Canis lupus familiaris: one gene and its partner. The protein of the gene in region 1 interacts with the protein of each later gene in a biochemical or structural test. Links are inferred from orthologs where the notes say so. Each region holds a gene or a part of one and is shown on either strand. Other genes may lie near its edges.

Region 1 (14,702 bases):
TTGCACCAAAAACCATAAGATACCTAGGAATAAATCTAACTAAAGAGGTGAAAGTACTCTGAAAACTATTAAACTCTGAGGAAAGAAATTCAAGATAATACAAAGAAAAGGAAAGACATTCCATGCTCATGGATCAGAAGAACAAATACTGTTGAAATGTCTATACTACCCAAAGCAATCTCCACATTTAATGCAATCTTCATTGAAATACCACCAGCATTTTTCACAGAGCTAGAACAAATAATCCAAAAATTTGTAGGGACCACAAAAGACCCCAAATAGCTAAAGCAAACTTGAAAAAACAAAGCAAAGCTGGAGGAATCACAATTCCAGACTTTAAGTTATATTACAAAGCTGTAGTGATCAAAACAGTCTGATCCTGGCACAAAAATAGACACACAGAACAAAAAATCCAGAAATGAACCACAAATATATGGTCAATTAATCCTCAACAAAGCGGGAAAGCATATCCCATGGGAAAAAAACAGTCTCTTCAATAAATTGGTGCTGGGAAAACTGGAGAACAACATGCAAATGCAATGCATTTTTAAATTTTTTTCTTACACCACACAGAAACAAATGAAAAACTTAAATGTGAGACCTGAAACCATAAAAATCTTAGAAAAGAATACGGGCAGTAACTTCTTTGATATTGGCTGTAGCAACTTCTTTCTAGATATGTCTCCTGAGGCAAGGGAAACAAAAGCAAAAACAAACTAATGGGACTTCATCAAAATAAAAAGCTTTTGCACAGCAAAAGAAATCAATGAAACTAAATGGCACTTTACAGAATGGGAGAAGATATTTGCCAATGACAGATCCTATAAAAGGTTAGCATCCAAAATCTGTAAAGAACTTATAAAACTCAGCATCCAAAAAATAATCCAATTAAAAAATAAGCAGAAGACATGAGTACATGCTTTTCCAAGTAGGTATCCAGATGGCTAACAGACACATGAAAAGATGCTCAACATCACTAATCATCAAGGAAATGCAAATCGAAACTGTAATGCGATGTCACTTCACTTCTGTCAGAATGGCTAAAATCAACAACACGGGAAACGACAAGTGTTGGTGAGGATGTGGAGAAAAGGGAAAGAGCATTGTTGGGAATGCAAACTGGTACAGTCACTCTGGAAAACAAAATAGACATGCCTCAAAAAGTTAAAAATAGAACTATGCTACCATTCAGCAATTGCACTACTAGGTATTTACCCAGAGAATACAAAAATACTAATTCAAAGGCATACATGCACCCTGATGAATATAGTGACATTATCTACAATAGCCAATTATGGAAACAGTCAAGTGTTTGTTGGCTAATGAGTGGATAAAGATGTGGTATATATAGGATGGAATATTACTCAGCCATCAAAAAGAATGAAATCTTGCCATATGCCATGATGTGGATGGAGGGTAGAGTATTATGCTAAGTGAAATAAGTTAGAGGCAAATACCATAGATTTTGCTCATATGTGGAACTTAAGAAAGAAAGCAAATGAGCAAAGGGAAAAAAGAGAGACAGGCAAACTTGAGAAACAGACTCTTCACTATAGAGAAGAAACAGATGGTTAACAGAAGGGAGGTGGGGGGGATGGGTTATATAGGTGGTGGGGATTAAGGTGTGCACTTGTGATAAGTACGGTATGTTGTGTGGAAGCACTGAATCATCATATTGTATACCTGAAACTAATTTTACACAGTATATTAAATTACTGAAATTTAAATAAAAACTTTTTTTAAAAAGGGCACAATTTTTAAAATGGCTCTTGATATTACTGCCAAATTATTTTCTTGCTGATGCTTTCCAGTATAGTCAATAGGTTGCTTCATCTCTCTTAGACATAACATTGACTCCTTTACATGGCAGTGTCAGTAATGACATCGAAACCTACTACCTAGGGAGGGGCAGACTTCAGCTATTGCTTCAGAACCTCTATAGATGCCCCCTTTTTAGTTCCCTCTTCTGCTCAGCCCTGAAATTGCCACCTTGAATCCCTGTCTAGCATCTGCTACTTATTTTTCCTGTTATTTTCCTGTGGAACACTTATCAAAATTTTGACTAAGGGTGCCTCTGTAAGTTTCGGTTTATTAATTCCTAATCAAATTGAGAAATTTCATTTTTTTCTTTGGTTCTTCTGCAATCCTACCTTTGTTTTTCCTTAAGTGTTTTGCTTATGTAAAAGTGGAAAATGAAGATAATACTGGAAAGCATAGAGATAATAAAGATCATCCAAAATGCCATCAAAATTAGTATTTCCAGACACCTGTGTGCTTGCATGGATATTTCTATGTAAATGAGATAAACATTACTTTTTCATGGAGGGCAGAGTAATCTAGCAGAAAGAGACTGAGGTATAAATCCCATCCCAGCTCTGCCAGTATTTTTTTTTTTTTTAAGATTTACTTATTTGAGAGAGAGAGAGAGAGAGAGAGAGACAAAGAGTGCAGACAAGCACGCACACACAAAAGCGAATGGGGGAGGGGCCAAGAGAGAGAATCCTCAAGCAGATTCCCTGCTGAGCACGGAGCCTGATACAAGGCTCAGTCCCATGACCCATGAGATCATGACCTGAGCTGAAATCAAGAATTGGACACTCAACCAACTGAGCCACCCAGGTAGCCCCTCCAGCTCTGTCATTTACTTATAACGTGACCTTGAGTACTTATTTTTTCCTCCATGTATTAAAAGAAGGGCTAATAACACCTATCTCTTGGGGTTTTGAGAAAATTTAAATAGGTACTCAATGAATATAAATTTATTTTTCCTTTTTAAAATTTTTCTTCAATTTATTTTTCCTTAAACATCAACATTGAGGTGTTTAATATATTTTGACTAAATAAATGAGGTATTACAAAGAAGAGTTTCCTTGTGGACTTCTATTTGGAATGGTTGACTCTGAGTTCATCTAACTAAACTATCTCATATTCTATTTGCTATCTTCATTCTTAAACCTGCTTATATTTTCTTCTAGTTTCAATTAAAAATGCAGCTAAGTGGGGTGCCTGGGTGCCTCAGTCAGTTAAGCACCTGATTTTTGATATTGGTTCAGGTCATGATCTCAAGGTCATGAGATTCAGCCCTGAGTTGGGCTCTGTACTCAGCAGGAAGCCTGTTTGAGATTCCTTCTCCCTCCCCCATACCCCTGCTCATGCAGGCACTCTAAATAAATAAATCTTTTTTAAAAATGCAGCTAAGTGAGACGCCTGTGTGGCTCAGTGGTTGGATGTCTGCCTTGGGCTCAGGGCATGATCCGGGGATCTGGGACTGGGTCCTGCCTTGGGCTTTTTGAGGGGAGCCGGCTTCTCCCTCTGCCTATGTCTCTGCTCTCTCTGTATCTCATGAATAAATAGATACAATCTTTAAAAAAAAAAAAAAAAGGCAGCTAAGTAATTTTAAGCAAGTCACTTACTGCAGTGTACAGTAAAAACAGAATAGTTTCAAGTAGTACTTCCTAACTGCAAACTGCTATACAAATTTCTTATTACTACAAAAGTTAGTTCATTGTGCATTTTAATTCATGACTATTATCTTGTGGCCACATTCATCAACCTCTTTTTTTCTACTACATCACTCAGCTTTCCTACATTTGTCTTTTTCTAATCCTTTGGTTTACTGTTACTGTGGCTCAGAATCACAGATCTCTGCAAGGAAGCATTTGATGAGCCCTGGAGGAAACCAGAGATATGTTCACAAGTCACACATAGTTCAAGATGTAAGGCTTAGACTTTAAGATAAAGTAAAAAGACCAGAAGAGGTGAGGACTGTGTTTGAAAGAGAATAGAGCCTAGGAACAGGACATCTGAATCCTAGCTGTTACTTTAGCTACATGGACTTTAGGTTAAGTTAGTAAACCCTTCTGGAATTTCCCCATCTGAAAAGTGGAGGTGGTAACAGTACTTACATCATAGTACTATGAATTTGAGATAATATGTGTGAAGCTCTTAAGAACAGTGCTTGGCACATTGTAAACACTCAGTATATATCAAATATTAAAATTATTATAAACTGTTAAGTGGTTAACATCAGGTGGGAAGATAAAGCAAGAGTTTGTTAGTTCAGAGAAACACTGAATGTTAATTTCAGTAGCTCTATTTCATAAACTTCTTCCTTCTTAAGCCCTAATTCTAGATTGAAATACTTTTTTTTTCCTATAAAATTTCTCTCTTTGGGTCAGATTTTTTTTTTATTTAAACAGCATCAGTTCAAAATACTTGAAGGCAGTAACAGTAAAGCTATTAATTACAACCTTAAGTTTGGCTATTTTTCTACTTTATTGTATGTAGAAGAACAGCCGTGTTTCCAATTTGTATAACCTAAACATTTGTTACTGACTTTCCTCTGGTATAATTGGAAGTAGGAGTAGGGAGTAAAGAAGAAGGCAGGATTCAAAGCTTTGCTTCACAACATTTTAGGTACTAGAGCCAAAGGTCTTTCATAATGCCACAGAGAGATAACATTCATCTGACAAAATTGCCATGCACTGCATTTGCTTTTAACATTTTTATCCATTTCTGTGACATCCAGAGACCTTATGTTTTCTTTTAATTGCAAAGAACAAGAGACTCTATTGCTATAAAAGCTATGTTCAGGTTTAATATTACAAATCGACTGCATGTTGGCCAGGTCTTCACCTGGATATTTTGAGTTTGGCCTGCAGGGTTCTGAATATTGGCTGCTAACACTTAAAAATCCAGACATCTCGCACAAAAATCGTTTTAGGGTTTCTCTGGGCGGGGGGGGGGGGGGGTCGTCATCTCAGAGTATTGGACCCACATCCCTGTGGGCAACAATCCGCTGGTGCTTAACAGCCGCTCTTTTCAGTTATAGCATGGGCACTAATTTGCCATATTTCTTATTACTCTTCATTGTTTCACACCAGGCCAGTTTCATTCATTTGCTTTCTTTTTCCGGGCCCCGTAGGCATTTGAGTCTGTAAACCCTATCTGGACTTTTCCTGTCTCCCATCAAAGCTTACTTTGTTCCAAGTCCCTCGCGAGTTTTTCAAAGCAGCGGCGAGGTAATCTGATGGACTAGGAGTATTTTCACATGTGCTTTCTGGAGATAGTATCTTCACAAAAAGGATGACTCTGCAGGTGGAAATTACAGGCACCACGGGATTACGGTCAGGATGGCAACTGTCCATTCTATCTCCTTTTTTTTTTTTTTTTTTTTTTTTTTGGTATCCTGGCTTAGCCATACCTCACGGTCCCCAGGCAAACCTAAGGAATTTGGTTCTCGGCCGAACAATGCACGCGGGCTTCTGTGTGAAACCTACGTAACTAGTACTCTTACGGCCTGCCCTAGTTCCAAAGGGCAGAAAGCCACGGGCTCTTCTGAATCCCCGCTTCCTCGGAGGCTTCAGGATATCCGGCCCGACGGCGTCTCCCCATACCTGTTCTCGGGGCTCGCTCTGCGCCGGGCCGTCGCGCCCAAGGAGCGCGCGCATCCAGCATGAGCTCATTTCTCAGGGGCGTTTCCAGAAGGCCCAGCCCGGCTGCGCACGGCAGGCGCGGGCGGCCTCACGTTATCAAAGGCCCCCGCCGCTGGGCAGGGCAGGGCAGGGCAGGGCAGGGCAGGGCGCGGGCGCCCGGGGGCGCTGCCTGTCCGTGAGCTTTCCTCCTACTTCAGCGTCTGAGGGGGCTCGCGCCCGGCGGGGCAGGCGCCCCGCACCCGTCTGGCCCTTTCGGGGAAGACGCTGGTTCTTCGGCCGCGCTCTCCCGGGGCGGACGGGGGAAGCCCCTGTCGCCGCTCTGTTCGCTTGAGCGCTCCGGGCCGGGCGCCGCCGACCGCAGCAGTTTCGGACCCGCTGCGCACGCCAGCTGCGGTTTCCACAACGACCGAGAGCGGCCGCAGACCAGCCCGGCGCACCGGCCGCCACGACCCCGGCGCGGCTCCCCTCAGCTCCTGAGGCCGCCGCCGCCGCCGCCGCCGCCGCCGCCGCCGCCGCCGCAGGCGGAGGGCCAATCACAGCGCAGCTAGGTCTTGCGATTGGACGGCCCTGAGCGCTGATTGGCTGCCGCTGCGGGCCTCGGCCTCCCTCCTTTTCCCTTTCGCCCCCACTCCGGCTCCAAAGCTTCGGGCCAATGAGAAGGCGCTTTGTAGACGTCCTCCCTTTTCTTTCTTCTTCTCCCCGCCTCGGCGAGGGAGGAGACGTCCTGACTGGCCAGACTGTCGTCGGAAGCCCCCGTCGCCTCGCCAATCCCCGAAGCAGGTACACTCCCAGCGGAGTTTTCGGCCAATTACGAAGGCGGCCGGGGCGCCCAGCCGCGCCGTTTCACCAGTGACTCCGGGTTTCGCCGTCCTTAACTCCTCCAGCCTTTCGGTGAGGGCCGGCGGCTGTGATTGGCCGCCGCTGCCATTGTCGGATTCCCCCGCTGGCCAGCCGCGGGACGAGCCCCGACCTTCTTCTCGCTCGGCGGTCTTCGGCACTTTCCGCTCTTTGGGCGTGGACTTCCGGCGACACTTTGTAATTGGTTCCTCGGGCCGATCGGCTTTTTCCGGGAGGAGCCGCAGGCAGCCGACGTCCGTGATTGGCTGTGCCTCCGGCCTCGGTTCCGTCGCCGAAGCGGGCGGGCGCGGACCTCGGCCGGCGATTCCCAGACGCCTGTTACGCGGGTGGCGGGGCGCTGGGCGGTGGAAGGCTGGGTGGGGGAGGAAGGAGGCGGAGGACGAGTAGGAGGGGGGAGGGGGAGTGGGGAAGAGCTAGGCGGCTGCGCAGACGGCGCTCCTCACACAGAGCAGCCCCCGACCCGGGCGAATGCAGGCTTGTGCTGCCGCCGCCGCCGCCGCCGCCGCCGCCGCCGTCGCCCGGGCCGAGTGACAAAGGAAGGAAGGAAGGAAGCGAGGAGGAGCCGGCCCCACAGCCGCTGACAGGGCTCCGGGCTGGGGGCAAAGCGCGGACACTTCCTGAGCGGGCACCGAGCAGAGGCGAGGGGCGGGAGGGCGGCCGCGCTGGTGCCGCGGACGGGGGAGGGGGCCCCCGGGGACGGAAGCGGTTGCCGGGTTCCCATGTCCCCGGCGTATGGGGAGCAGTCGAGGATCCGCCGCCTGGGGTCTGAAGGGAGCTGCCTCCGCCGCCGCCGCCGCCATGGCCGCTGGATCCAGCCGCCGCCTGCAGCTGCTCCTGGCGCAATGAGACGAGGAGCCGCCGCCACCGCCCGCCTCTGACTGACTCGCGACTCCGCCGCCCTCCAGCTCGCCGGGCCCCCGCCGCCAGCCCGCCGGATCCCGCCGCCGCCGGAGCCGCAGCGTTTCCCGTCGCATCACCGAGCCACCCCCTCCCTCTCCCTCCCTCCTTCCCATCCCCCCTTCTTTTCAAGCGTGAGACTCGTGATCCTTCCGCCGCTTCCCTTCTTCATTGACTCGGAAAAAAAATCCCCGAGGAAAATATAATATTCAAAGTACTTCTTTTCAATCAAGTATTTGCCCCCGTTTCACGTGATATTTTTTTTAAGACCCCCCCCCCCTTCTTCCTCCCTTCCAAGGAAACGGAGGGGAAAGAATTGTATTTTTTTTCCCCCCAGCCCCAAATCATCTATATGTTAAATATCCAAACTGGTCTGTCTTGAAGGAGAAATACATCACTCGTTTTTTTTTTTTGTTTTTTTTTTTTGTTTTTTTAATTATACAAAAGGAGCGAAAAGCCAAGAGGACGAAGTCTTTTTTTTTTTTTTTTTTAATCTTCTCGTGGGAGAACTTAATGCTGCATTTATCGTTAACCTAACACCCCAACATAAAACAAAAGGAAGAAAAGGAGGAAGGAAGGAAAAGAGGGTGATTCGGGAAGAGAGTGATCATGTCAGGGCGGCCCAGAACCACCTCCTTTGCGGAGAGCTGCAAGCCAGTGCAGCAGCCTTCAGCTTTTGGCAGCATGAAAGTTAGCAGTGAGTATTGATTTTATTTTACGCCCCTTCTCCACCTCACCCTTAAAATAAGAAACCTTTAGTAACCAGGATCTTAAAACATTAGACCTCCTGATACTAATAATCAGAGGTATTGAAAAGGGCAAAAACCTGTCTTAAGTCCAGGGTTAGGCAGCTCCCTCTTTTTCTCCTCCCGCACCACCTCCCACCCCCCCCCCCCCCCCGGTCTCATTAACCTTGAATTGAGAGAATATGCTTTTTATTTGCACGATTTGATTTGGAACTTGTTTCTTACACTTTTTGTGCGGTTAGTCGTCCGCCTTATCAAGTGTGCTTGACTGTTTCTATGTTAAAACGGCGATGAAAGTAAATAGTTGCTCATCCCTTCGGAAAAAAAAGGGGGGGGGGAAGGACAAGACGATTCAAATTATTATGTACATTTGCCGAGTACGTGTCTTTTAGAAGGAGGGTTATTTCAGCTCAGGCCTCGGGGATTATCGTAGTTTCGTGTACTTGCTAGAAGGACTGTAAGTGTCACAGTCTCCTAACATTTGTTTGTTGCCTGTGTGACTACAAAGTATTTGTTCTTAATCCGGAGATGAACTTGCTCAGTAACTCGTATTCACGTTTGGAGGAGAGCCTCGAGTTCTCCCTTTAGAAAGGGGTCGGTGGGAGCTGATAGAGACCCAGTAGCAGTTGTATTGCTACAGGCATTGTTTTAATTGGATACACGATTTAATGTTATCTCTTAACCTCCTCGTTTTGACATTACCAATTTACCACTATATAATTTATGTTTAATCAAAAGGTAACTTGGAAGTAGGGCCAAGTTTTGATTGAGGTTTGTCTTGTCAGGTTGCCAAATACTAAGTTGAATGTTAATTGTCACTGACTCATCATTAAGTTCAGTTTTGGGGTGCCATTTGCATTCAGCACTTGTTCAATGATCTGGAGTTCAAGGGCCCCCTTCTAAGGACTATTTACCATAGTATTTAAAATACTCTTGCATTGGTTTCCTGCCGCAGTTAGAGAAAACTATGGATTTAGTTATAACAATCTGGATTTAGACCTTTCTGTCACAGGTTTTGCAGAAAGCTGTAGTCCGGGACATAATAAGGTATTTGAGCTTGTGTTCAGGGTTGTTGCTAGACTGTACTTTGTCCCAGATTTGTGCTAATAGTCTGTGTTCTTGAGGTGTTTGGTATACTAAGTATCTAGTGTTCCAAAGTATCTCTATTTGTAGATATGTTTATGTGGTATTTAGCGACAGCTTATTTAAACCGCACTTCCAGAATTTGACAAAAATATCTACATTGTTTCCTTATTCCTCTAGAAGGGGGCACAGTGAGGGCAAAGAAACTATTTTGCTGCCTAGGATAAGGAAAGAACTGAGATTTTTAAAAAAAATATGTAAATACTGTTATGTGAAATTGATTATATCCTTAAGCAATATAAACTTATCACTTTTAATTGAGCTCAGGATTTCAATTCATGTTGCCTTTTGGACATGCCTGAAACAGGGTGGTCTAAGGTAGTAGCTGAATAGCAGGTCATTTTTTAAAGTTACTTATTTTTGTGATTAGTACAGAATGCAGGATATGTGAAGAAAGGGGCTGATGATGCATTTTTCAGAGAAGAGTCAAGCTTTCTAAGCACTTCATGGGGTCATTTGAAAGGAATATTTTAAAATTCTGGGGTAATTTTCAGCTATGATGAGGCAAATCTTATAATAGCTACTTAAGAGCCTCTTGTGGTACTGGAGTGTTTGTATGTTTTTCATCTTGGTAATATAGTTTAAAAACCACTTGAAATCAATTTTAGGTAATTATTTTATTAGATCAATTTCAGAGAGCAAAACAGAATGGCTTATAATGTTAATTTTTGGACTTTTCATTTTGTTTCCAAGATTTCCTTTGAAAATGACTCCTTAATTCTTGGTAATGTGGATGTTGACTGAGGATGGAGTAACTCTTGTAAAGTGCATAGGTTAAAGGTGTTTAATTTTCTATTCTCATATGGGTCAACATTTAAAAATTGGAGTTCAATGCTAATTCTGTGTTTTTGACAATCTTAACTGTAAGGATTTTTTTTTTTTTTGGTAAGGACATTTTAGAAGAAAGAAGTATCCTTAAACATTTGTTACAGTGCTACTGTTTTATAAAGGACCCTTGTTCAAAACAGAGATATGTAGAGAAATTAATGGCCCCAATGGCTTATCATTTAGTCGTAGAAGCAGTATGGTACAAAATATGAAAACAATAGCATGATGACTGCAAGATTATAAATACAAATAGAATGCTTTGTTCAGAGGGATGAAGAATACAGGGGTGAGGCCTTCGGGTTGGAGAGGAAAGAAAGACTTGCTGCTGCGATGTGTTTTAAGACAGGTGTTAAAGGAGGCAATCACTTGAATTCATAGAGAAGCATAAAGGATTCTAGATGGAAGGAATGGACAGAGGCACGGAGATGGTGATTTTTCTATGGCAAGTAGATAATTTTTGTACTTACCAAGCAAATTGGTAAATTTGAATTAAAGGGGCCTAAATAGGAAAATAAGAGATAGGATATGGGAAATGTGTTAACCATAGCTGATGGAGAGCAGAGGGGGCCTCTAAGAGTTTGGATGCAGTTCAAGAGACATTGGGATTTATTGTATGTTGATGAACAAGATATTTGAAAGTGATTTAGCAGCTGTGTTAATGGATTACAGTAGACATTAGAACCCTTTTAGCGAGACAGTAGGGTGTGTTGCTAATCATGAAGAAATATAAAATAAAATGTGAAAATGGTATGAAAATAATGCATTTGAGAGATAGTGTGAATGAGGAACTGGCGGGACTTTGGATTGGATCGAAGGGAAATGTTTGGGAAGGAGTCAGGAGTTAAAAATAAATTCTGATGTTGTTGGTCTGGAAGACTTGACCGTTGAGTTATATTGTCAATTGTAATGGGAAAGTTGAGAAAGTGCTGAGATGAGAGGGTAAATGAGTTCACTTTTTAAAAATTTGATGTACAATAGGTTCCCTTGAAGTTCAGCAGGCAGTAGTATTTGGTTACTGGCAATGATATTTAACTTTACAGTCTATTAATTGCACAATTTCTAATTTCTCTTCATCTAAAAATGTTGGATTTATTTTTGGGAGCAGTAAACTAACGGTTTTTACTTAAATGCTTTCTATTAAAGTCTTAAAAAAGAAAGTAATTTTTTATGTAGATTCAAAAGCCTCACCCTTGATCCTAGTTATAACAACGGTTCCGTGGTTTTGAAAAACAATGGAAATTTTTTGGACTAAACTATGACATAAAAACTTTAGGTATTTTAAATAGCCTTTAGTTTAATCTTTGGTATGTTTAAGCCTATTTTTCATAAATAATGGTTATTAGGTAAACTTTGCACTGAAAGTAATGATAATAATACAAGTAAGAATAGTTTTTATTTGGTTTGTGAAGGCTCCAGCAGAAATTAAAAGTTGTTTTTTTTTTTTTTTTTAAAGATTTTATTTATTCATGAGAGACACACAGAGAGAGGCAGAGACATAGGCAGAGGGAGAAACAGGCTCTCCGCAGGGATCACGCCCTGAGTGGAAGGCAGACGCTCAACTGCTGAGCCACCCAGCCATCCCAAAAGTTGATTTTATAAAAATATTTTTTGCCTCGTTAGTTGAATTAAGTAAGCATTCATCCCAAGTTTATATATCGACTTATTTATTTTAAAGATTTATTTATTTATTTTAGATAGAGGGAGAGCATGAGCAGGAGAGGGAAACTCAAACCGACTTCACACTGAGGGCAGAGCCTGAAGTGGGGCTGGATCTCAGGACCCCAAGATCATGACCTGAGCCTAAACCAAGAGTAAGGCGTTTAACTGACTGCACCCCCACTTGCGCCCCGCATTCATCCCGAGTTTAAATCATGTATTTAAATTGTATATCTGAAATATTTTTACTTACTAAGGTGAAACCAGTATTTCTTTTTGGTTCACATCCAGATGCAAGTGTTATTAAAAATATCTTAACAGCTATACAGTTCCTCCTGTAGAATTGTGTGATATTTTACTCAAAGAGGACTGTCTATGGTGATTGTGATTAAAATATTAGTAATAAATCCTTTTGGTATACTGTTGGCAAAAATTTAGCTGATTGGCTAGGTTTAATTTTTACATACAAGGTTTGGAAAAGAGGAAAAGAAATCAGTGAGAATCACTTATTTCCTCATATAAAACTTTTTACATCAATTTTTTTAATGAAGAGAACATAATTAATAGTAGTTGCATATTACTGTGCAGTATTTAGTTGTATTAAAACCAAAGACTACGTGGCAATTTAGTTACTCTGTTCCCAAGGTAGTTTAATCTCCTTGCACCTAAAAATTAGGTTATTAGAATTTAGCCAATTTCTAGATCATTCGCATTTATGTGGATGAGATCTTGTGTATGAAACTGAAAGCTTTACTTTCATTAAGTTTCCATTCCTTTTCCGACCAGACCTTTCCAGAGTTGTTAAAACACTAATACTTTCTCATAGGAATTGCATGCTCTCTTGTTGCATGTACCTGTAGAATGCTAATTGTGAAATGACTATAAGGCACAGGTACTAGGACAAAACTTCAAGGGAATCCAGAGATTCACAAATCAATTTATGGCTGATTGGGAATGGCATTGAGAAAATGAGGTGACATTCATTTCACTGGTGTAGGGAAAATCAGTTCTTGCACCCTGTCCGCCTGCCCCTTGTTTTAGACTTCATTTGGAAGTGTGAGTTACTGTTTTGGAGAAACAGCAAGGCTGGTGAAGCCAGAGCTTTCTAAGTGTCAGCAGCAGGTTCTGAGACTGGAGGATCTCAGTTTTTGTGTATGGTTTATGTATAGAGAATGCTGTGAAACAGGAACTTGCTGACCTATGCCACATTTCCATACTTTTTAATGAGACTAATGGGATTGTGGGATAGGGATAGAGATGGGCAGACTGTAAATCTGTGCTGTCTCTTGTGATGCTCCACCCTACAATGGAGAATGGAGGGACAGAGCACGTGGGTGTGACTGGAGTATATGCTGGTGCTAACAGGACCAACCTGATTTCCCAGATACTGTTATAAAAACATAATAACCATAAGTAAAGGAATTTGTTGGAACATTTAGCATCATTTTCTGGCATATTTTTGGGTGGGAGGTGTGGTGATTTCAAGGGTAGAAGTATTTTTGTGGTGTACGGGTTTTAGAGGAGAGATTGCAGTCTTTGCTTCTGTCTTGGATTGTACAAATCTTGGTAATGTGAATTGCCTTTGAAATTGGTTGAATGTGATGTAGAACTGTATATTCACATGAAGACCTCTGAATAGTACAAGGAAAAACTGACAGTAGAGTTAAAGGAGAACAATTTGTTTTCCCAAAGGTTTTTACCATTAAATTGATTTTAAAAAGGGCTTTTATGCTATTCTGTTTATTACTGAGTTTTCTGTTTTCAAAAATGAGTTAATACGCAGCACATGGACATTCAGAAAACTATTTCAGTGTATACTGTGTCTGTAATGTGCTTGGTCTGATATAAAATATGAAGATACAACTCTGTAGATTTGGATTCTTAATTTACAGCCCTCCTTCCCACTTTTCCTTATGTTTTAGGTAGAAAGAGCTACTTTGGAAGGATATGCATGTTAAAATTTTGTGAATAGTTGAATCTTATATTTTTGTGTTTGAATAGTTTTCTTTTTTCTTTTTTTTTTTTTAAATTTTATTCATTTATTCACGAGAGAGAGAGAGAGAGAGAGAGAGAGAGAGAGAGAGGCAGAGACACAGGCAGAGGGAGAAGCAGGCTCCATGCAGGGAGCCCGATGTGGGACTCGATCCCAGGTCTCCAGGATCTCGCCCTGGGCTGAAGGCGGTGCTAAACCGTTGAGCCACCCAGGCTGCCCCCTGAATAGTTTTCTGAGAAGCATTTTGGTTTGATTAGATTGAGACAATGATGTATTTTCTTGTTTTTCAGTTCATTCTCTCAAATCAACTTTTCCTTTGTCTTCAGGGTACCATGGCCAACTGTTGCATAAAATATAAATCTCTTAATATGTTCCCTTTTCAACATATTTTGGAGTTGTTAATTTCTTGATTGTCCTTTGAAATCAATTTAATAATAAAAAGTAAGCACTTATGATGGAAGAGGAACTGTTTTCCTAGAAAATTGTATTTCAGATGGTGGTGAAATTTAAATGAATTTACAGGCCTGGGATTGAACAGACATGCCCTAAAGTCAGAGAGGTTGGTAGGCAGGCAAAAATAATAGTAACACTGGTATGAAGCACTAATGTTATCTTTTTCATTTTCCTTAATTATATCATGTGAAATCTTTGGCTTTTGAAGCTAAAAATAAATAGGCTACTTTAATAGAAAGTTGAAACAAATAATAATGTGATTGACATGTGATATGCCTATTGAATGTTTACTGTGTTCTAAATAAGCATTTTGCCAAATTTTTTATATACAATATTTCAGTGTAATCATAACTGTAATTCTACAAAGTAGCTAATGCTGTTATCCCCACTTGAAAAAAAAATTTATTCATGGGAGACAGAGAGGCAGAAACACAGGCAGAGGGAGAAGCAGGCTCTCCGCAGGGAACCCGAAGCCCCCCCCCCCCCCCCCCCCCCCAGGATCATGCCCTGAGCCAAAGGCAGACGCCCAACCTCTGAGCCACCCAGGCGTCCTTTTTATCCCCACTTTAGAGATTAGGTAAATGAAATTTAGAAAGGTGAAGCAGTTTATCCAAGATTACATGGAAAAAAGTTGCTTTGCTAGAATTTAAACCCAGGCATTCTGATTCTAGAGCTCTTGCTCTTTATTGTATA
Region 2 (14,763 bases), on another chromosome or scaffold:
GACACAGGCTCTGTGTACGTGCTGCGTGTCCGCGGCTGCAACAAAGCTGGCTACGGCGAGTACAGTGAAGATGTGCACCTACACACACCCCCGGCACCTGGTGAGTGGGCAGATGGGGGGCACTGTATGGCACCTCCAGGGCGCAGGGTGTGTGGGGACCCACGAGCCCTACTGACAGCTGGTGCTGGGCAGGCACTGGACAGACAACAGTGGGCTGTGCTCCCGGACCCTGGGGCTAGGCTGCCTGGGTTCACATCCCCACTCTGCCTCTTGCCAGAGGTGGCCCTGGGCGAGTCGTGTGCCCCCACTGAACTCCCAGTCCCTCTTCTGTAGGGACAGTGACAGTGTCTGTGAGAATGAAGCCAGGTGAGTTCCCAGCTCCCACTAAGAACTCCATGATGGCAGCTCTCCAGGGGGGCCCAGCTGGGGGGTGCGCTGCAAGGTGTAGGTTGGAGGTAGGGGGCATAGCACCAGCTGGAACAGAGCAGCAGTGGGGACTCTCTGGGGGGCTAGCCATCAGAGAGGGGTGGGAGGAAGCCCTGCAAGTCCTCTAGGTCTGGGGAACCAGTGTCTGGGCCCACCACTAAAACTCTTCCTGGGATCTCGGGCCCATTTGGGATGCTCTTCTTTTCTCCCTGTGTTCTCCATTGCGATTCTGTAGGCCCTGGTCCCTGGAGCCCCCACCCATCCCTGGCAGCATGTTTCACGTTCCACAATCTTCCAGTGTCCTTTGCTGACACCTCACGGCCTCCACGGCCTCCCTGGCCGGTGTTGAGGCCAGTGTTCATCACCTGACGTCTCTCCTTTGTTACCCTCCCCGACTGCAGTCCTGCACTTTTTCCTCGACGGCCGCTGGGGGACAAGCCGGGAGCGTCTGGCCATCAGCAAGGACCAGCGAGCAGTACGGAGTGTGCCGGGGCTGCCACTGCTGCTGGCTGCGGAGCGGCTGCTCACCGGCTGCCACCTGAGCGTGGACGTGGTCCTGGGCGATGTGGCTGTGACCCAAGGACGCAGCTACTGGGCCTGTGCCGTGGACCCGGCCTCCTACTTGGTCAAGGTGGGCGTCGGCCTGGAGAGCAAGCTTCAGGAAAGCTTCCAGGGTGCCCCCGATGTGATCAGCCCCAGGTCAGGCCTCTTGGGGGGTGGCATGGGGGCCCAGGTGGGGGAGCTGAGGATGGGATGGGGGTGGTGAGGGGAGCTCCCACGGGCTTGGGGGGCAGTGGGGGACTCTAGGAGCATGGATGCCAGGCTGAGGCCTGTGGCTGGGGCAGGCGGGGGCTTAGGGGAAGGGCTTGGAGAATTGGTTTTCCAAGGAGGAGCATATGGCTGGGAGAGGGGGCCATCCACTTGCTCCATCTGTCCTCAGGACCACCACACCATCTCTCCGAGCCTCTGCGCCTCCCAACACCCTGTTCCAATGCATTTTCTCCACGAAACCCTCTCTCCTCCTTCACCATGTCTGTTCTCAACATCCTGAGATCCTTCCCTGAAAATGTCCACCTCCATCTCCTCTCTTGCCAACGCCTGTTTAACACCCCCTAATACATGCACTTCTCCAAACCCTTCCTCCCAGCACTCCCTTAGCAATCTCTAAATACCCCATTTCTCTGCAGTACTCTCCTGCCAACATCAATCCCCCCAACCCTGTGGCGCCCCCAGCCCCCTCCATCCCACCTCCCTCCCAACACCCACCTCCCCGACCACCTTCTCTCTCCAGCCCCTCAGTGACGAAACCCTCATCCTTGAATGCTCCTTGAGGGCCTCACCAGCATGATGTCCCCATGTCCCCACATGGTTCTCCTTGCTACTTGCTCATCTCCTGTCTTCCTGGGACACTTGATCCCCAGCTAGTCCCTCCTTCTCCGCCACCTCCCTGCCAGTGTGCCTGCTTTCAATATCCCTCTCCCGCTAGACTCACACCCGCAGCCCCACATTTTCATCGCTGTGTCTGCACACATCCTCTCAGTACCCCAAATGGATCCTTTCAACCACTTGCTCCCTGACATTCCATCCTCATGGGCTCAGGCCTCTGCCCCCACCCACCCACCCGGAGTGCCACACCCCTCCCCCCCAACACTCTCCTACCCAACTCCACTTCTGCAGGTACGATCCGGACAGTGGGCATGACAGTGGTGCCGAGGATGCCACAGTGGAGGCGTCCCCGCCCTTCGCTTTCCTGACCATCGGCATGGGCAAGATCCTGCTGGGGTCTGGGGCCAGCTCAAATGCAGGGCTGACAGGGCGGGATGGCCCTGCTGCCAGCTGCACTGTGCCCCTGCCACCCCGCCTGGGCATCTGCCTGGACTATGAACGGGGCCGCGTCTCCTTCCTGGATGCTGTGTCCTTCCGTGGGCTCTTGGAGTGCCCTCTGGACTGCTCAGGGCCTGTGTGCCCTGCCTTCTGCTTCATTGGGGGTGGTGCAGTGCAGCTTCAGGAGCCCGTGGGCACTAAGCCTGAGAGGAAGGTCACCATTGGGGGCTTTGCCAAGCTGGACTGACCCTTTCTGGCCCCTCCTGGGCCCTGGTCCCCAGGCCTGCTGGAGCTGGGTTATTCCTCCGGCAGCTTCTCCCCAAACTCTTCCTGCCATGTCGTCCTGTCCCTTTCCCTATGTCTGTGTATTCCTGGGGCCTTCTCTTGACCAAGGGACTCTCCCCTGCTCACCCTTCTAGATGTCCCCCATTCTCTCCATTGCCTGTTAAGCCAGGCTCCAGCCCCCACCAAGTCTCTGCCCCACACCCTGCCCATGGCATCTTACCCAATTCACGGAGAGAGCCCCTGCCCCATCCTTGTCCTGTACCCCTCCCCAGGCTGACTGGGAGGGAAGGCATCTGGAACACTGGGCATGGCCCCCAGCTCTGCGCTCTGCCCTTGGCCCTGCCCAGCTCCCTGCCCCATGGATGCTGAGCTCCAGCCTCGGGGCAGGCAGGCACTCCCTGGTGAGAGGATGGGGGCCCCTGTCATCCTGCTTGAGTTGTCCAGGTCCCATGTCCCTCAGCCGCATGCCTGTATCTCTCCTCCCTCTTGCATGCTTCACCCTGTCCCACACCCATGCCAACGTGCCAAGTCTCCCTTGGGGCCCCAGCTGAAGTTGGGTGTCCCCAGTGGGTTCGGCTAGGCAAGGCCTTTGGGGCTCCCTGCTGCCCCTGCAGTGGGCACTGCCAGGCCTGTGCCAAGCAACAGCTGTTATTTTCATGGTTTATAAACAATAAATGACGTTGCCAGGCACATCTCTGCCTTCCCTGAACCTGACCATCCCTTTTCATTTCTGCGCTGGGTGTGACAGGTGGGAAGGATCCAGGGAGCTCCGCTACTGCTCAGAACAGGGGTGCTCAGGGGATCTGCTGCCCAAGGGAAGGAGATCCCAAGCCAGGTGCTCCCAACCCTCCTCCAGCCACACGTTCTGGCTCAGGCTCCAGGTGACAGTGGCCTTCAGGGGGTATATTGTGCTGGTGGCTGAAGGCCATGCCAGGGCCAAGGCCCCCAGGGCATGTGGTGAGGGGGGCAGGCACCGTGCCTGGGCCCAAAGGGTCAGGGAACCAGAACCACTTCCCCATTCCCAAGGTGCCTAGAGCAGACCCTGCTGGCCAGGGAGGGGGCCAGGCCTGGCGTCAGCGTCCGGATCTAATGCTGTGCTTATCGTGGCCTGTTGACTCTATGTTGACTCTGCCTGTGTTATCACTGCCCACGGACTTACTTCACACCCTGGCAGCTAAGAATAGAGCCGCCTATGGGCACTGGGCCAAGGGGAGGCAAGGGCGTGGCTGCCACCAGCCCCCAGCCTGAGGAGAGGGGAGAGCCAGGGGTGCAGGTAGAGCTGGGTCACACTGACTTCGGGTCATGCTGGCCTCCAAGCCAACTCAGTTTCGTTTCCTCCTTCCTTGTGTGCCACCAGGGATGCCAGAGGTGACCTGTGCCCCAATGTCATCTCTCCACGTCTCCTGCTTTCCAGACAAAGCCTATTCCTTGCCTTCTTTCCCTGCCCCCAACTCCTGCAAAGATCCCTTCCAACGCCCCCCCAGCCTGCCCCCCACCTATGGGTCACAGATGACAGATCCAAAATTGGCAGTCAGCACAGATGAGGTCCCCATTTTATTCAGCCATGGTCTGGTTTGTACTTCCAACCCGGGGCTTTCTGGGTCAGTCCTCCTGGGAGCCCCTGTCCCCAAGGGGCTCGGATGGGCTTCATCAGCAGGGCTGACATGGGGTAGGGGACATGGTGGGGTCTGTGAACAGCCCACCTGAACCCCCTAGTTCACCAGCCCAGAACACAGTTGAGAGGAGAGGACTCTGGTGGGGGTCTGGGGGAGGCAAGTGGCATTGTCATCTGGACCGCTGGGCAGGCAATGTGCTCCTACAAGTTGGCAGAAGTGGCTGCTGGGTTCGGGTTCATGTAAGAGAGGCTGCTGCCCCCATTGCCTGCAGAAACCTGGGTGGAGGGAGGAGACATGGGCTGAGAAGCTGTGGGTTTCCTGGGAGGAAGTGGCTCCTGGATCACACCACAGGGTGGGGTAATAGGTCCGAGAGTCTAACTCTCAAAGGGTTAATTAGGAGAGCACCTGCTGGGCACTAGCAGCAGCCAGGTGACTGTAAACAGGGCGCAGGGCCACTCCTCCTCCCTCTGGTCCCCTTCACTGCCCCCCTCGGCTCTCAGCAGCCCCCTCGCCCTCCCCTACTGCCCCTTTCTCCTTCCATCGCGCTCCTCCAGCCCAAGCAGGAGTATCTGCCTCTGTAAGACTGGGAGAAGGAAGTCTCTGAGCAAAGAAAACAGGCTCAAGGGAAGGAAATTCCCCTCCCCCGACCTGGAGTGTCGCTCAGGTGGCCCAAGTAATTATTGACTAGGTCCTGGAGAGAAAGGCCAGGTGAGAAACAAGGAGGAGGGGTCCTCATTTCCTCCAGACTCCTGAGAACCCCTTGGCACCCAGGCTCACCTGGATGGGTTATACTTCTCCCCCACATCAGAGACCCCCTCTATTCCTGCCAGACTTTCTAAATCCACTCTCTGCTCCTAGGAGCTAAATGAATAGGGGCACAGGTGCTCATCCTGCATTGATGGCGTCACATCCCTTTCATCCTGGGTCCCAGGGAGCAGCTTGTGCTGCCAGTTCAGCGGAGCGGGGAATGCTGCTTTGGAAATGCTGGTCGTGGGGACACTCTCTTTTGAGATCCCCTTCCTCTCAAGGTCTCCTCCCCTCCCCCCGCTGTTCCACCCCACCCCTCCTGCCTCCGTGGGCCGCCACCACCACCACCACTTACTTGGTGCCCCTCTCCTATTCTACCTTCTCTGAGCATTTTCAGAAGCCCCGCACAGCCCAAACCTCTGCCTCCCTCCACCTGCGGGGCCCTCCTCACCTCCTCATAGGGGCTGCGTCTATTACCGCCAGGGGGCACATAGCGCCCATGGGTGTGGTAGGTGGGGTACTCGCTCATAGGATGGTAGGCGTCTCGGGTTGGAAAGATGTCCAGCTGCCCACAGTTCTTTCGGCGGCACTGGCACACAGTCTGGGAGAAACAGGGTGTTATGGGAGGCCATGGAGTTTCTTCTAGCAGGGGGGCTTCTGGCCAGGGCTGGAGACCTAACACTTACCAGGGCAACAACATAGATGATGGCGAGTGCAACCAGAACACAGACCAGCACCAGCAGGGCAATGCCCCAGCCAGGAACCCCAGACTTGAACGGGGCAGAGGAAGGGAAGGACACATCTCGCACTAAAAGGAAAAGTAGGGGTCAGAATATTCTTCCAAAGGAATGACCTTCCGTATTAACACCCTGGGGGACAGTAGGAACCCAGGTGCTGGAGAGAGGGGCCCCCGGAGACAGAAACAGAGACATGGTGCTGGGCCACAGCTGGGAAAGGTGGCCTCACCACTAATACTCGAGATGTTCAGGTTATATCTGGCTCCTTCTTTGCTGTCTTCAAACTGTGTCTTCACCTTGTTGGCATCAGTGGCACCATTTCGGAAGGCCAGAGTTGATTCTACCACCACAGATCCGGGTCTGCTCACAGGGAAAGCGGTGACTCAACCATAAGTCCCACCTTCAGGCGCAGAGACTCCCCCAACCAAGGCAACCTGCCCCTCCCCCACACAGGTTCCACACCCAGAACCCCCTACCTGAATCTGATGTTATAAAGGCCCAGGAAATATTCCTGTCCATAAATCTGCAAAAACTGGGGTGAGAATGGAAGGACTAAGGCTTGAGGCAAACAGTCCAGGCAGTTTGGAGGCTGCTGTGGGGGGAGCATGGAGCACAGAAGAATAAAGACACCTACTCACCAATTCAGAAATGTTCCTCTGCAGCTCCTGGTAGTAGTTGCTGCTGGGATTTTCCAGAGAAGAATTAAACTGGAGGTTCAAAATGGAAAAGGACAGGAAGAAGAAGGAGATCCTAATAGACTGGGGAGAAGTGCTATGATTGGAGGAGATGGGAGGTTCCATGTTATGGTTAGTGGTACTGGCGGTAGTCCTGGTGGTGTGGCTGCTGGCCCAGGATGAGGAGCTGAGTTTTCCCAAGGTGGAGGTGGAGCTTGAGGCTAGGCTGGTGGTGGAGGATGAGGTGCCATGCTGTGCTGGGGTGGTGGTGGAGCCTGAGACAGGGCTGCCGGTAGGGGATGAGGAGGTGGAGCTTGAGGCTGGGCTGCTGGTCAAGGATGAAGAGCTATGCTTTCTCAAGGTGGAGGTCAAGCTTGGGGCTGGGCTGCTGGTCAAGGATGAAGAGCTATGCTTTCTCAAGGTGGAGGTCAAGCTTGGGGCTGGGCTGCTGGTCGGGGATGAGGTGCCATGCTGTGCTGGGGTGATTATCGAGCCTGAGACAGGGCTGCTGGTCAAGGATGAGGAGCTGTGTTTTCCCAGGCTGGTGGTCGAGCTTGAGGCTGGGCTGCTGGTCAAGGACGAGGAGCTATGCTTTCTCAAGGTGGAGGACGAGCTTGAGGCTGGGCCGCTGGTCGGGGATGAGGTGCCATGCTGTGCTGGGGTGATTATCGAGCCTGAGACAGGGCTGCTGGTCAAGGATGAGGAGCTGTGTTTTCCCAGGCTGGTGGTCGAGCTTGGGGCTGGGCGGCTGGTTGGGGATGAGGAGCTGAGTTTTCCCAGGCTGGTGTTTGAGCTTGAGGCTGGGCTGCTGGTCAAGGACGAGGAGCTATGCTTTCTCAAGGTGGAGGTTGAGCTTGAGGCTGGGCTGCTGGTCAAGGATGAGGAGCTATGCTTTCTCAAGGTGGAGGACGAGCTTGAGGCTGGGCCGCTGGTCGGGGATGAGGTGCCATGCTGTGCTGGGGTGATTATCGAGCCTGAGACAGGGCTGCTGGTCAAGGATGAGGAGCTGTGTTTTCCCAGGCTGGTGGTCGAGCTTGGGGCTGGGCGGCTGGTTGGGGATGAGGAGCTGAGTTTTCCCAGGCTGGTGTTTGAGCTTGAGGCTGGGCTGCTGGTCAAGGACGAGGAGCTATGCTTTCTCAAGGTGGAGGTTGAGCTTGAGGCTGGGCTGCTGGTCAAGGATGAGGAGCTATGCTTTCTCAAGGTGGAGGACGAGCTTGAGGCTGGGCCGCTGGTCGGGGATGAGGTGCCATGCTGTGCTGGGGTGATTATCGAGCCTGAGACAGGGCTGCTGGTCAAGGATGAGGAGCTGTGTTTTCCCAGGCTGGTGGTCGAGCTTGGGGCTGGGCTGCTGGTCAAGGACGAGGAGCTATGCTTTCTCAAGGTGGAGGACGAGCTTGAGGCTGGGCTGCTGGTCGGGGATGAGGTGCCATGCTGTGCTGGGGTGATTATCGAGCCTGAGACAGGGCTGCTGGTCAAGGATGAGGAGCTGAGTTTTCCCAGGCTGGTGGTCGAGCTTGAGGCTGGGCTGCTGGTCAAGGACGAGGAGCTATGCTTTCTCAAGGTGGAGGACGAGCTTGAGGCTGGGCTGCTGGTCAGGGATGAGTTGCCTCCCTGTGCTGGGGTGATTATGGAGCCTGAGACAGGGCCCTCTTCCTCCTTCCTGTTAGTCTCCCTCTCTCTTCCCACACCCTCTGATCTTAGCTGTCCATTTCTCCAATCCTAATATTTACCTCTCCCGACTCCCACCACCTCCCCAGACTTCTCTCCAGGTCACTGTAAGGTCCTGGTGCCAGCTCTCCTGAGGGGCTGACTCTCCCATCTGTCCTTAGCCTCTCTCCATTCCGGCACAGACTGGGTCACCCCTGTCTGCAAATTCTGCCCCTGGGGGTGCGATCCGCTAGGAAAGAAAACCCACAGAATGGCTGGGAAGACCCCATGAGCAAGGCAGCCCCCATCTTGTGCCCCTCACCTGTAAGCTCTCGGGTTACCAGGAGCAGGAAGAAGAAAGGGGCCTGGAAGCTTGGAATCATGGTGGTGGTGAACTGGGTGGGAGGAGGTGGAACAGTTTCAGGAAGGCGCTGCGTGTGAGGTGGAGCGATCACAGGCGCCTGCTGCTTTATACCGGTCCCCAGCCCGCCCTAGACTCCCTGCGAGCAGGTGACAGGTAACAAAACTCCACCCCTTCCCCCTTTCCTTACCTCCGACTTCTTCCTCCTCCTCCCCAACCATTCCTGGGCCCTCCTGGAGGGTACCTGGGCTCCCATCACTCAACCCTCTGACAACCTGTTTGTTCTCCAAATGGTCTACTCCTTCTACCAACCACTCCCTGGCTCCAGAAGGCAGTGGAGGAGTGGGGGGAGTCCAGGACCTGGGTCTCCCGGGCTCCCCGTTTAGCCTCAGGGCGACAATCAGGGTGAGAAAAGGAACAGAGGAATGGGCTACGTCAGACCCGGACAGCAGGCCGAGGAAGCCCACCCTTAGGTCCCTCACCCCACTGCCTCATTTTCACCGGGTCCCTGGAAGCCGCCCTGCGGGGGCTGGGGAGGAGCGAGACGGCTCGAAAAAGGGTGGACCGGGTGCCACTCGTGAACCCCCTCCCCCCGCCACTTTCCGGAATCTCTGCTCCTCGGCCAGTCCCAGCCGCTCCCTGTCCCGTTCCTCACGCAGGTCCCCCGAAACCCACAGTCCCCGCCCCTGCAGCAGCCCGCGTGCCCTCCTCAGCTTCTCTGGAGGCGGGGGCGGGGGTTAGAACCCCTTCAAGCTCCGCGGGACCCCGGGGTCTTTCCTGTCGGATCCTCGGTCAGCGGCGGGCCGGGCTCTCCTGCCCCCTGGCGGCCCCCGGGAGCCTGGCAGCCGTGCGCGCGGGAACCGGGGGCGCCGGGGTCTCGGGAGAAAGCAGCGTGCTAGAGCGCGGCCGGAGGGGCCGAGGCGGGAGGTCGGGGAGACGCGGGCCCCGGCGCGCAGGTCAGGGGCTCGCCCGCAGAACGCAGGGACGCGCGGCTCAGTCCACGGAGGGGCTGTCGGCGATAGGGGACCCCGGGGCGCGTGGGGCGGGGTCCCAGGGAGCCGGCGCTCGGTGGGTGGGGCCCTGAGGTACGCGGTAGGGGCGCCCAGGTATGTGGGAGAGGACAGCGGAATGTGGGAAGGGAAATGGGTCAGGTTAATGACTCACTTAGCAGGCAGGGACTAGGTGGGGCAACAGAATGGTATTTGGGGGCCCCCGAGCGACGCTGGGGGGCGGCAGGCTCTGCTGCGACCACGGGCCGTCTGTGTGGGGGCGTGATGGGGGTGCAAGGAGGACGAGGGCAGGAATGTCTGGCGCGGGGAGGTATTTGGGGCACAGAGCACATGGAGCGCGGGGGTCGGGCCCCCTCCGGAGGCTACATCCCCCCAGTTCTCGGTGGCCGCGAGTACAGGCTGGACAAGGAACTTTCAGGGCACTCGGGTGCGGTGGGGCTGGAAGAAGCCGGGCGGCCAGGCGGGGCGCGCGGCCCGGGGGTGGGGAGGGGGTTGGCGCGGAGGCCCCCCCACCCGCCCGCGGGAGAAAGCGCTAGCATCTAAGTGGGCGGGCCCAAAACTTCGGCCCCGTCGTTGCCTGGCAACAGCCATTCAGTCCGGTTGCTGGGACACGCGTCACCATGGCGACAGCTCCGCGCCGCCCGCTCCGAGTATTTAAAGAGCAAGCGCGCGCAACGGCTGGGTGTCGGAAAGCAGTTTTCCGGGCCACCGCGGTCTCCCCTCCGGCCTCCGCGTCCCCCCACGACCGTCCCCTCCCCCTCGTTCAGGCGCCAAGTCTCTGGCCTCCAGGGTGGACCCGACTCCCCAGCGCGACACCGTTCCTGGGGCTGGTCCGGCTGCAGGCGGTGCGGAGCGGGATCCCGGGCCCCGGGTGGGCGGGAGGGACGGGACGCGGTGCAGTGTTGTTCTCTCCCCCGCCAATATTGCACTCGTCCCGGCCTCCGGCCCCCCCGGCCCCCCGGCCTCCCCCTCGCCCCGAGCGGCCCAGCTCCAGCCCTCCTGGCTCTCGATCCGAACGACCTGATAGACTGGATTGTCGCCGCTGCCACACCGTGAGTAAGGGGGGGCCGGGAGGGCTTTAGCCATCTTCTGGTCAGCCCCTTATCCTTCACCTGCCCCAATCCAGTGCCCTTCTTCCGCCACGCCACGGGGCCCCACACTCAGGAACTTCCAACCTCCCAGCCCTCAGGCTCCTTCCTGCTCCCTGCACCATCCCTGGAAGTCCCTCATATAAGCAACACGTGCTCCCTTAGAAAACCACTGTAACTTTATGGCAACTGGAGGTTATCTTTCCTGGGGTTAGCTCCTGAGAAAAATACCCCTTGAAAAGCTCCGTCTCCTGGACAGTGGGGGTCACCACCCCTCTGGGGCTGAACACCTGTGGGTGCCACAGGACAGTCTGTTTGGCTGGGTGGCTGTAGATTAGACCCCAGGGGCTCCAGGATGGACCCCAAGGCCGGAGGATCTAAAATCAGGATTCTGAGTCCAGTGGGCACCTCTTCACACTCTTTCCTGGAGCAGCTGCCTCCGGAATGGCTCAAAATCCTCAGGCACTGTGTCTAATGAAGGAGAAAGGATTAAGGTCAGAAGATAGAACTCTCCAAGAGGGGATACAGAAGGTCAGGGTGATCTCAGACTGGAGCCTCACCATTGCATCGATACTGGAGATTGGACCAAATGATGTTTTCTTGGGAGAAGCAGAATACACCAAGACGCCCTCCTCGCATGGCTGTGTCAATGATCACCCCAGAATCCGCCACTAGCTGAGGACCCTCATAGAGCTTCACCCTGTCCAGGATAGGGGTGTCCATTGGTGCTAGGGTGCCAGCAGGCACTGGGCCATCGAACCCAGGCCCTGCTCATCCCCAACCCCCCTTGAGCTCACCAGGCCAGAGAGAGAACGGAAGGAGGGAGTGGGAGGAAGGAAAGGGGAGGGACGGGGTGCTTTTCTCAGGACTGGGGCCCCTGCCTCTTTGTCCACCCCCTTTGCATCTCAAAGCACCAGCCGCATTCCAAGCGAGGATTGGGTTGCCATGACAATGAGCACAATGGGCTGGGGGGTGAAGTCACCCGCTTCCCAGGCTCTAGTCCACCCTCCCTCATCCTCTGCCCTGGCACCCTGCAGCCCCAGGCACCTTAAAGGGAAACCAACCCAAGTCCCTGGACCCTAGGCTCTTGCGTTTCCCCTCCCTTCCCTGTCACCCCCACCAACTAGGAAATGCACAGTGCTGCACACAGCACAGAACTGAGAAGCCTTAGCTCTGCTACTAAGAACCATGTGGTCTGGGCCTCAGTTTACTCTTCTGCAAATGACCCCTTCAGAGTCAGCTTCTGGGAGGTGCCACAGAAGGCACCGAATGTCACGGGCCTCTTCACAGACTGGCCTGCACTTTAGAGGCTCCCAAGGTATGCCCTCATTTTACAGAGGGGAAATTGGATCATGGACCAGGAAGGACTTGCCCAACATCGCCTATAGGTCCTGGGCAGCACCAGCTCCAAGGCCCAGGCTGCCTGACAGGTAGGAGAGTGGGGCTGAGAGGGCAGAGAGAAGCGGCTTCAGTCCCAGCCCATGGCACCAAGGAATGGAGTAGCAGGGCAGTCACTGGTGAGTCTCAGCTACAGATGAAGAAAGAGTGGGCTGGGGTCCCTCAGGATGGTGCAGCCCCTCCCCTCACCGAATGTAGCCAACTTGGGGCCGGTGCAGCAGCTGCCAGCGATAGGAGGTCTTGTCACGCCAGCCCACATTTCGTGGGTCAGTCCACAGCAGTCGGACCTGATCAGGAGTGTGGCCAGTATGCCACAGGGCATTCCGGAGGTGTTCACCGGGGCCGGACACTGATGTCACTGCCTGGAGGGTATTGGCAAAGACAGCAGCTCAGCCACAGGTTGATAACGGGTTGATAAGTGCAGGTGGAAAAGGAAGTCAAGGAGATCGGAGAACATTCTAGAGTCCTGGGGAGCTAGCTTCCAGGCCATATGTCTAAGAAAGAGGGTTCCCCCTCAGGCAGTGGGGGAAGCCCTAGGGTCAGCCCAAGGAGGCTTTGGGACTGGAGGAAGTGGGCAGACTCAGACCTTGAGCTGCAGCCCGGGCTGAGCGACAGCCCGGAAGGGTGTGGCTTGCCAGTAGGTCTGCTCTGTTTGCTTCCACATGACCACATAGAAGCGGCCGCTATCCTGATAGCTGAAGAGAAAGCCTGCGTAGTCATCATCAGTCACTGTGTTCACATGGAAGGTGCCTTCAAAGTCCACACCATTGAAGGCTGTATACCCTGGGGGTGGGTGGGATCAAGGTCAAGGGCAGCAAAGCCACTACAGGCCTGCTGTGGGCCAGGGGTGGGAAGGAATGCTTGCAGTATGGGTGGCCAGTGTGGCCCCCTCCCTCTGCCCCTGTAGGATTCCTCCATTTGGAAACGATTGACTGGGTGTCCCGCACATACCAACTGCCAGGCCGGGGTCACTGTTCATGGTCTGAACGATTTCCATACCCTGGTGGTGTGTAGTAAAGAAGAAAGCCCTGTTCCGGGTACGCTACCTCATCTAGGCCCCACCTGGTAGTCTGCTCTGTCCAGCACTTGCCCAGCCCACTGCCCTCGTACCTGATTGAGCACGACCCAGTTTGGATCAATCTGAGCATCACCCTCAGGATCCAGGACAACAGTCTGATAGGCTCGAAAATCTGTGAGGGTCACCTCTGCACTTTCAGGGCACACATCCAGGGGATCTACCACCGCATCATTGTCAAAATCATCCTCACACACATCACCAACGCCATTGCCTGGGCAGAGTGAAGCCAGGCATTCAGGAAGGCCTGGTCGTGGCCTCTAGACAACACTACCAACTGTTGGGCCTTGTCTTCCTGACTTCCCCCTGGCAGCACCTACCACCTCCCCCTGGGTAGGACTCCCACCAGTGCCATCCTCTGTGGGACCCCAGCCTTACCATCTGAGTCCTTCTGATTGGGATTGGGTACCAGGCGACAGTTATCAGGACCAGGAGGCACATAGTCTGGGACCCCATCATTGTCATCATCCCCATCACACTCATCTCCAAGTCCATCATTGTCTGAGTCCAGCTGGGAGCTGTTTGGCAGCTGTGGGCAGTTGTCTTTGGTGTCCTGATGTCCATCCCCATCACTGCCCAGAAGAGGCATCAAGTAAAAGCTCTAAAAGTACCAAGTCCATCCCCTCTCTTCTGCTCAGGAGTCTGGGGTGTGCCCTCCATTCAGCCACATTCCCTGCAGTCAGCCAGGTGAGGCGAAGCTCCAACAGCAAAAGTGGGGGGTAGCCTAGGGGAGTGACTTCCCACCCAATAGTAGTGGAGAATCAATTAAGCTGTACAGGAAGTAGAAAACAGACTGGAGGAAAGTAAAGGAGCCCGGATGAGACCAGCTATTTCCTGGCGCCCCCTACCTGTCCTCATTGGTGTCACAGACATCCCCCACCAGGTCACTGTCTGCATCTGTCTGAGAGAGAGGGGCCTGTTCTCACCATCTCTTGATAACTCTGAAGACAATGGCCACACTGCTTCCCATGTGAAGGGCTGGGGCTTTACTTCCTGTCCTCCCCATCCCCTGTACCTGGGTAGGATTGCTCATTTCAGGGCAGCTGTCACAGGCGTCTCCTACCCCATCCTCGTCCCTGTCTGTCTGCAGGGGGTTGGGGACTTTAGGACAATTGTCTAATCCATTGGGGATGCCTACGAGACACGCAGGTTGCACAAGGTTGTCACTACAACATGTCACACTCTTTTGGGGTCAGCGAAAGCCCAGAGCTTGTCTCCCACTCAGAGGACAGCAGGTTAGAGAATCCACCAGGACCCCCTTGCCCACTCCTGCCTCCCCCTGCCTCCTTCTTCACGTCTCCAGGGACTTCTGCCAGCCCACCTACCCCCACCACAGGTCTCACACTGCCCAACTGCCCTTCATTCCCACCAGCATCCGAATCCTCACAGGCCTCCCAGTCCCCCCGGCCCCAGCTGCACCGTCCCCATCCACATCGTTGTCACATGCGTCCCCTTCCCCGTTGCCGTCTGTGTCCTTCTGGTCATTGTTGGGAACGTTGGGGCAGTTGTCACAGGCATCCCCGAATGAATCTGTATCAGAGTTTTGCTGGTCCTTGTTGGGGAACAGCCGGCAGTTGTCCTGGGGCGGGACAAAGAGTCAGGCTTCCCTTGCCCCACTGGCCACCCAGCCCTCACCTTATCCCTGAGCCCTTGTCTGCCATCACTTCTCAGGATGGCCTGCCTGCCCACCCTCCATGTGATCCATCTTGTCCTCCCAAACTGAGTACTGGGGCCCGTCCTGCAGAGCTGCCAGGGACTGAGGGGGTTGTGGCAGGGTTATGGGACAAGGTGTGGAGGGGAGCAGAGGAGCCACCTCGACATTCTTGATCCCATCCCCGTCAGCATCATCGTCACACTGGTCCCCCACGCCATCAT

The links.
Region 2: the proteins of GSK3B (region 1) and MUC1 form a complex in vitro, tested with the Homo sapiens proteins (2 studies listed by BioGRID). The link is inferred for Canis lupus familiaris from reciprocal best matches to the Homo sapiens genes GSK3B and MUC1.

What each region holds. Positions count from the first base shown.
Region 1 is NC_049254.1:24,298,726-24,313,427, reverse strand, and holds the start of GSK3B (glycogen synthase kinase-3 beta), read left to right. Parts: upstream 1-7,642; 5' UTR 7,643-7,799; coding exon 7,800-7,887; intron 7,888-14,702. UniProt on the Homo sapiens protein: Constitutively active protein kinase that acts as a negative regulator in the hormonal control of glucose homeostasis, Wnt signaling and regulation of transcription factors and microtubules, by phosphorylating and inactivating glycogen synthase (GYS1 or GYS2), EIF2B, CTNNB1/beta-catenin, APC, AXIN1, DPYSL2/CRMP2, JUN, NFATC1/NFATC, MAPT/TAU and MACF1.
Region 2 is NC_049228.1:42,320,494-42,335,256, reverse strand, and holds MUC1 (mucin-1 precursor), read right to left. Parts: upstream 8,376-14,763; 5' UTR 8,340-8,375; coding exon 8,279-8,339; intron 7,926-8,278; coding exon 7,130-7,925; intron 6,497-7,129; coding exon 6,274-6,496; intron 6,168-6,273; coding exon 6,112-6,167; intron 5,996-6,111; coding exon 5,865-5,995; intron 5,707-5,864; coding exon 5,585-5,706; intron 5,500-5,584; coding exon 5,350-5,499; intron 4,427-5,349; coding exon 4,352-4,426; 3' UTR 4,060-4,351; downstream 1-4,059. Other genes in the region: TRIM46 (tripartite motif-containing protein 46), read left to right, coding at 1-100, 828-1,125, 2,104-2,497; THBS3 (thrombospondin-3), read right to left, coding at 10,828-10,886, 10,976-11,115, 12,003-12,175, 12,400-12,596, 12,765-12,813, 12,924-13,102, 13,267-13,460, 13,737-13,789 and 3 more. UniProt on the Homo sapiens protein: The alpha subunit has cell adhesive properties. Can act both as an adhesion and an anti-adhesion protein. May provide a protective layer on epithelial cells against bacterial and enzyme attack.